Callithrix jacchus: one gene and its partner. The protein of the gene in region 1 purifies or fractionates together with the protein of each later gene. This does not show direct contact. Links are inferred from orthologs where the notes say so. Each region holds a gene or a part of one and is shown on either strand. Other genes may lie near its edges. The genes, in order: CLTB and CLTCL1.

Region 1 (4,460 bases):
AGTTGAGGCTGTAGTGAGCTATAATTGTGCCACTTCACTCTAGCCTGGGCAAGAGTGAGATCCTGTCTCAAAACAAAAACCAAACAACAGCAACAACAAAAACCCATGCAAATGGACAGCAATAAATAAATACATTTAATTAAATAAACCAATTTTAAAAAACCACTTTAACATCAAAAGGTGCTCAAAGTATTACCAAGTAAACTGCAAGTTCCAGCTGGGCTTGGTGGTTGACACCTGTAATCCCAGTACTTAGGGAGACCAAGGCAGGAAGATCCTTAGAGCCCAGCAGTTCAAGACCAGCCCAGTTAATACAGCGAGGCCATCTCTAAGTAAAAATATTGAAAAGAAAAAAAACAAAAAACTCTGGAAGTTTCTTTCCTTCACCCTACGTCCACTTCCACCCCCAGCTTCGGGCACATCTTTCCTTTCTCTCCTCCAGTCCATATTTCATGGTTGCCCTTTAAGTCCCACATTAGAAATAGCAGACAGCCCAAATCCCATGATGTTTCTTGGCATCGTCTCCGTGTACCCCGTGTTTAAATGTCACAGCACCTCACACACAGTGCTTTGACGGACCATTTGCCATCTGTTGTCTCACTGGATTATAATCTCCCCAAGGCCAAGGCTGGATTTTACAAAACGTTGCTGTCCTGGTGCTTGGCAAAGCGCAGGCAGGGAGGAAGCGTTCAGAGCCTCTTCGCGGAGGGCAGGGGGCAGCGTGGAGAGTGGCAGGCTGCCTGGGTAAACCAGGTCTACCTTTCTCAGGCTGGTTCATACCTAAAGGACATTTAAGGGGCCCAGTTTCTAAGCAGGGGCTCAGCCAGGCCATCCAAACTCTGGTCGTATGAGCTGAAGCCTCCTTAAAGGAGACACACAAAAAAATGCGCAAAGCAACACGGCCTAGTGGAAAAGGACCTGGACTTGCATGAAAAGGTGCGGAGCAGGCTTTCGCAGTCTCAATTCTTCTCCTCTTACGGAGGCAGAGACTCAGAATGAGGTGCTTGACATCCCAGAAACTTTTGCAGAATGAATCAGCAGCCAGGTCTGCGCTCCCGGGGCCAGGGCTGGCCGCCTGTCGCGGCCCTGTGCACGGTACGGCCACTTTGTGCCCTGCGTTTCGCCTCCAGACCTGGCGTGAGCTGTGCATCGCCCAGGTGTCCTGGACAGGCGCAGCTGGGCGCCGCCGCGGAGGGAGGGGAGCGCCGCCCCCGCCGGTCCCGGCCCCGCGCTGCGCCCAGGCCTGCTGCGCCCTCCTGCGGTCACTGCTTGGAGACCTCCCGGCCCTGCGCCCCGCCCCCCTCAGTGACGTCACCGCATTCCGGCCCCGCTCCTCCTGCCGCGGCGCCAGCACCGCAGTGACAGCGAGCCGGGTCCGGTGGCGGAGAGGAAGTGTGGTCCGCGCCAAGCCCGTCCCCGCCGACGCCGGCTCCCCGCGGCTCGGGTGACAGCGTCGCGGCCGCCGGGCGCAGCGCGGGGCAGGCGCGGGCAGAGCCGAGCGCAGCGGAGGCTCCGGCGGAGGCGCGGGGAAAATGGCTGATGACTTTGGCTTCTTCTCGTCGTCGGAGAGCGGGGCCCCGGAGGCGGCGGAGGAGGACCCGGCGGCCGCCTTCCTGGCCCAGCAGGAGAGCGAGATCGCAGGCATAGAGAACGACGAGGGCTTTGGAGCACCTGCAGGCGGCCATGCGGCCCCCCCGCAGACGGGCCCCGCGAGTGGGGGTGAGTCAGCGCGGGGCCTGGAGCGGGGCTTGGGGCGCGCACCCGGGGGACCCCAGCCGGGGCCCAGCGGCACAGGGAAGAGGGCCTGTTCTAGGCCAGCTGGGGCAGGAGCTGGGGGGGACGTGGGGAGAAATCTTCTTAGAGATCTCCACGTAGGACCTCCGAACTGGGATGAGGCCTCGCCTGGGCTGTGGATCCAGCGACTCCCGGGACAGGAATTCGGTCATGACATTTCATCCCTAGGCCAGCTTCCCCGCTGCCGGGCTCTGGAATCCAACCCCGGGTCAGTTTTCGGAGTCCTTCCTGAGCTTCGTAATAGCCTGGCTGTCCCAGGCTCCCAGCTAAGTGTGCAGGTGTGGGCAGAACACAGCCTCCTGGCCCCTCAGCCTTAGCTCTCTCCTGCAGCTGGGAAAAAAAGGGGGACCCTGGGTGCTGTGGGAACTCACTAACCTTCCCCAGGGACCACCTGCCTTTCGGCAGCCAGTGAGCTAAGTGCCTTGATTACATTTAATCACTTCATACTCGTTATTGAACCCATTTCAGAGATGGTAAAACTGAGGCTCAAAGGCATAAGCTATTGAAATAACTAGTAGTGGCAGATCAAGAATTTAAACCTGTTTCTTTTTCTTTTCTTTTCTTTTCTTTTTTTGAGACGGAGTTTCGCTCTTGTTACCCAGGCTGGAGTGCAATGGCGCGATCTCGACTCACGGCAACCTCAGGCTCCTGGGTTCAGGCAATTCTCCTGCCTCAGCCTCCTGAGTAGCTGGGATTACAGGCATGCACCACCATGCCCAGCTAATTTTTTGTATTTTTAGTAGAGACGGGGTTTCGCCATGTTGACCAGGATGGTCTGGATCTCTTGACCTCGTGATCCACACGCCTCGGCCTCCCAAAGTGCTGGGATTACAGGCTTGAGCCACCGTGCCGGGCCTATTTCTTTTATATATATATTTTTTCCTTTTCCTTTTTTGAGATGGAGTCTTGCTATGTGGCCCAGGCTGGTCTTGAACTCCTAGGCTCAAGCAAACCTCCCACCTCTTCCTCCCAAAGTGTTGGGATTACAGATGTGAGACACTGCACCTGGCCGTGAATTTAAACCTGTTTCTGTCAGACTCAAAGCCCTCTCCACCTGACCACACTGCCTTCCAAGTGTCTGGCTCTGAGTTAGACACGGGGGTGTGGGTTGCAACGAAACATTGGTCAGATGCGGTCCAGCCCTGCAGGGTTTTGTGGTTGCTGACTCAATGGTTTTCCAAAGGTGGTCCAGGGCTATTATGATTTCTTGTGTTTGGCTTCAGACCTCAGAGTTCAGGGCCTGGTCCTGGAAGATCATCTTTTCTTTTTCTTTTCTTTTTTTTTTTTTGAGACAGAGTTTCGCTCTTGTTACCCAGGCTGGAGTGCAATGGTGCGAGGAGATCATCTTTTCAATGATGTTCCTGCTCTGGTTCTGGCTAGCAAGAATGATTTTGTAAAATATTTAGTAAAAAAGTAGGTATCACCTTATGCGTGCATCCGAAACAGGCCTTACTGTTAATGTCACTTTGGAGAGGTTTTGTTGTAATAAGTGCTGACTTATATACAAATAGATATATTTTGGTTAATGATGTTTACAAGGCTCTTCAGAGTCATGTTTGTATTCATTCAGCATTTGCTGAGCACCTACTGTATTCCAGGTCACTGGGGATACAGAAATGAGTATGACAGTTCTTGTGGCTGAGAAGTTTGAAGCAACCCTGTATCTCCTTGATATTAGAAATGTAACCAGGCTTTTGTAACATGCAGGAAACTGGTGGCCCAGAGAATTTGAGTATCTTACCTAGAGTCACACAGCCAGGTGTGACAGATCTAGGACTCGATCCCAGGCCTCTCAACTCTGGGCTCCGTACTCTTTCAAATGCTGTGGAGCCTGGGCAACATGGTGAAACCCCATCTCTACAAAACATGCAAAAGTTAGCCATGTGTCGTGCCATGCAGCTGTAGTTATAGTTCCAGCTACTTGGGAGGCTGAGACAGGAGCCTCACTTGAGCCCAGGAGGTGTAGGTAGGTTGTAGTGTGCCGTGATCATGCTACTGTAGTCCAACCTGGGCAACAAAATGAGATCCTGTCTCAAAAAAAAAAAAAAAATGCTGTAGCAGTCACCTTCCTGGGAGGAGATAGGATGTGGGGATGAGAAGCAAGGAGTCTTTTGCCACCTGTCTGAGACAGCAATGGAGGGCTTCTGAAGTGGCAGCTCCCAGCACCTCAGCACAGATCCTGCCCTGCCCCGCCCCAGGGAATTCCTAAGAAATGCCTGCCCCAGTTAATGCACCAGTATTCATTGGTCCATACCTCTGTGAGACCACCCTTTTCCTCAGTCTGGCTCACTGGGGTCTGTTGGGGGAGGGGTACAGGGTGGAGGAGGGGTGCAGGGCAGAGGAGGGATGCCTGGTGGGGAGGTGTTGCTGAGGGGAGCCATTTTCAGAACTCCAGGAGAGAGAAGATGGGATTCAGGCCAAGGGCAGTCAGATGCCTCTGGGAGTTGAGTGGGCTGTGGCCTCTTCCCAGGATGGCGGGGCTCCAGGGGCTTACAGGCTGGATGGGAGGTTCCATCTCCGGCAGGGGTGGGGCACAGATTGGCCTCACACCCGAGGTGTCAGGGAGAGAAACAACGACACACTCGCTTCTTCCAGGGAGCTGTTGGGGACACAGCCTTCTGAGGGTCTCCCAGGCATATACCTGCTGACTCTGCAAAGGTTCAGCT
Region 2 (3,809 bases), on another chromosome or scaffold:
TAGGCCAGTCTAGACCTCCTGGCCTCGAGCAGTCTTCCTGTCTCAGCCTCCCAAGTAGCTGGGGTTACAGGCGTGTGCCCAGCTCCAGGATTTTTACCTTATTTGTAAGAGCTTTTTGTACTTACAGAATACTAAGTGTCTGATGTATTCTGAATATTTTTCCCAGTCATAATTTGTGGTATGTGCCACTTTATTGAAAGTTGCATTTTTGTGTGTCAATGGCATCATGTTTTGAGAATACTTCTGTACCCCAAGATGATCACAACATTTACCTATATTTTCTTTCATTCCTCTCCTAATTGTGTTTGTTTTTTATTTAAAATCTTTGACCCATCTGTAATTTATTTTCATCTAGAGAGTAAAACAGAAATTCAGTTCCTTGCTCTTACTTCCATCTCCAGATAGCTAGTTGACTATATTAATAATATATGCTATATATTGATTAAAGTGCCTGTTTTCCACGAATGTGTTACCTACTAATTGTTTATTGTTTCAGAGTTGGAGTCTTGCTTTGTTGCCCAGGTTGGACTCAGAGTCCTCGGCTCAAGTTATCCTCCTGCCTTGGCTTCCCAAGTGGCTGGGACTATAGTCCTGTGTCACCACACACTCATTCTTACTAAATCCTCATACATGATTCATTCTCTTTCAGGGCTCTCAATTAAGTTCTATTTCCCTCTCTCTCTCTCTCTCTCTCTCTCTCTCTCTCTCTCTCTCTCTGTCTCTCTCTCTTCCAATGGTAAAATTTAATGTATATGTTTAATAATGTGGTTGGGCAAATGCATCTTTTTTTTAACCCATCCCCTTCAGGTTTTCTTGTGTGTTAAATATTTTTCTGTAAAAGTTAATAGCATTTGGCAAAACTCAAAGGTTACTAAGTGGTGGTGGAAGGCGCGCTGGGACATTAACTTGTCACTTTAGGTCTTTGTCCAGAACTTTCCCCTTCTCTTATGAACTCACAGCTTGCTTAAAGGGGTTTGATAAACCGAAAGGATTGCTCTACCTGAAAGATAAATGGAGTAGCCTGAGTCTATCGGACCTTTATTTGAAAGTAGTTGGACAAAATATTGGCTTTAAAACTAATTCTCAATCAAGTACAACTTAGAATCCATGTCTCAGTGAAGCATTGCTCCCACCAGTAATCTCTTGGCCTGAGAGACTGAAGAATCCTCATAATAGCTGAATGTGGCAGCTCACACTTGTAGTCCCAGCTACATTGGAGGCTGAGATGGGAAGATCACCTGAGCCCAGGGGTTGGAAGCTGCAGTGAGCTATAGTGGCACCACTACACTCCAGCCTGAGTGACAGAGCAAGATCCTGTCTCAAAAAAAAAATCCTCTTTATCATTTATGAACTCTTTTTACCCACATGGCTCCTCCTTTTTACTTCTTAACTTCTTGCTGTCGTTGTCTTCTGACAGATTGGAGCTAAACATGGTGTTATTTACTTGATCACGAAGTGTGGCTATCTTCATCTGTACGACCTAGAGTCTGGTGTGTGCATCTACATGAACTGTATTAGTGCTGACACAATATTTGTCACTGCTCCACACAAACCAACCTCTGGAATTATTGGTGTCAACAAAAAGGGACAGGTGTGTAACTCTGATGTTTTGTTTTCCACCTTTTCCATTCATTAGGGACTGGTGTTTACTTTCCCTCTTCTTCAGGAAAGTGGCTGGGCATAGTTTATCAATGGTTCCTGTTATTAAAACTTAAATCTATGTCTCCTTCTCCTTCATATTGGCACTTCCCCTCTTCAGACAGCACCATTTCTAACACAGGATTGATTCCAGGAGAGCAGCTCCTTCCCGCACGAAACAGCAGTTCTGATGCCCAACACATCATCTTCAAACCACGCACACCCTAATTTGGGAGGGTTGGAAAAGCAGATACTATGGTATTGAAGTTACTTTTCTCAACCATAGTTGAAAAAGATAGTTAAAATAAGAAACTCTTGTGTGGGCACATAGTTTATGCCTGTAATCCCAACTAAATGGGAGGTTGAGGCAGGAGGATGGCCTGATCCCAGGAGTTTGAGGCTGCAGTAAGCTATGACCACACCATTGCACTCTAGCCTGAGTGAGATAGTGAGAGCCTCTCTCTAAAATTGAAAAAAAAAAAAAAAAAAAAGGAACAGTGGCTGATTCCTATAATCCCCGCACTTTGGGAGGCTGAGGCAGGAGGATTACTTGAGGCTAGGAGTTTGAATCTAGCCTGGGCAACATAGTGAGATGCTGTCTCTACAAAAATATTTTTTAAAAAAGAAAGAAAAGAAACTCTGTGCTTTAAAAATAAAAAGTTTAAGAAGACAAATTATCAGTTCCATCCACATAGATCATTTTGCTGTAGTGCAGATTGCATCACTGGGGTGCTTATCCATGTGACTTTAACAACTACGTAGACTCGTATGCTGTTCTGCTTTCTTACCTTTCAGCTTCCATCTCCTTTGCATCCTCTCACTACGAGGGCCACCGTCACTGGTGTGCTCAACGCTCGCCTGAGAAGGTGGCTTCCCTCCGGCATCGGGAGGGAACACGGCAGAGGGATGGTGGAGCACTCCTCTAGGCTCAGCCGCTCTCACTTGTTGGGTCCTTTACAGGTGCTGTCAGTTTGTGTTGAGGAAGATAACATTGTGAATTATGCAGCCAACGTGCTTCAGAATCCAGAACTCGGTCTGCGTTTGGCCATTCGTAGTAACCTGGCTGGGGCAGAGGAGTTGTTTGTGAGAAAATTCGGGACCCTCTTTGCACAGGGGAGCTATGCTGAAGCCGCCAGAGTGGCAGCGTCTGCACCAAAGGTGATAAACCTCGAATACTGTTCAAGTGTTCTGAGTGTTAAGAACCAACCTTGAGAGGAAAATAAGTCATACAAGTATTTCACTACTAATATTGCAGTGTATTTGTGTTAGGAGTTTTTCGTTTAACATTTTTGCACCAATGGCCTAACAGTTAAGGAGGTAAACAGAAAAATTATCCACAGTCTTCCTGTATCAGCAGTTCTGGTCTCCCATTTTGTGTGCATACATACCTCTCACCCAGCAGCTTAGGTACAGTTTCACATTTTTGTGACTTAGAATTTTCTACTCCTGCTACCTGGTTGTCAAATATAACTACAGTACATGAAGTGGTTGTTCCCTGTTTTATTTAGCAGTAGTCCGACTCTGGACTTTCTCTACTCTTTTCGAATATACATTTCTGTATGTGGCTTTTTCTTTGGTTTATTTCATTTGGATAAATTTTTCAGAGACTGGATCTGCTCCTGAGTAGATAAAGATTCCAAGTTGCTTGTCCTTGAAAGAATTTTTCTTGTCTTTCAAGGGGTAGTTATGAACAAACCATTTCTAGCCTTCATCATGAATTTAAGTATTTTGAAATAGAATATAATGATAGCAGAACTTCACTACTGCAAGACTGACTGAGAAGCCTAATTCTCCCTGCAGCATGCTGGGGGAGAAGTAAGAGCCTAGGTGTGAAGCCACCTGTAGGACCTAGAGTCCCTCATACTTTCAGTTATTGTTGAAGGTAGAAGCAGTTGCCTTGGTAGAGGACTTTTTGTCCATGACAGAGCAGTGCGGAATTTCCATTGGGAAGTTTCTGTTTTTATATACAAGCAAGTTGAGTGAAGGGACCCCCCCCGTGATTACAACACAGTGACCTATTTTTCCATTTATTATTAGGGAATCCTGCGTACCAGAGAGACGGTCCAGAAATTCCAGAGCGTACCCACTCAGTCTGGCCAGGCTTCTCCGTTGCTGCAGTACTTTGGAATCCTGCTCGACCAGGGTCAGCTCAATAAACTTGAATCTTTAGA

Evidence for each region.
Region 2: the proteins of CLTB (region 1) and CLTCL1 purify together in Homo sapiens (affinity purification with mass spectrometry; 3 studies listed by BioGRID and IntAct, with this or other methods). This does not show direct contact. The link is inferred for Callithrix jacchus from reciprocal best matches to the Homo sapiens genes CLTB and CLTCL1.

What each region holds. Positions count from the first base shown.
Region 1 is NC_133503.1:70,798,156-70,802,615, forward strand, and holds the start of CLTB (clathrin light chain B), read left to right. Parts: upstream 1-1,357; 5' UTR 1,358-1,532; coding exon 1,533-1,719; intron 1,720-4,460. UniProt on the Homo sapiens protein: Clathrin is the major protein of the polyhedral coat of coated pits and vesicles.
Region 2 is NC_133502.1:210,881,553-210,885,361, reverse strand, and holds part of CLTCL1 (clathrin heavy chain 2), read left to right. Parts: intron 1-1,417; coding exon 1,418-1,591; intron 1,592-2,598; coding exon 2,599-2,796; intron 2,797-3,675; coding exon 3,676-3,809. UniProt on the Homo sapiens protein: Clathrin is the major protein of the polyhedral coat of coated pits and vesicles. Two different adapter protein complexes link the clathrin lattice either to the plasma membrane or to the trans-Golgi network.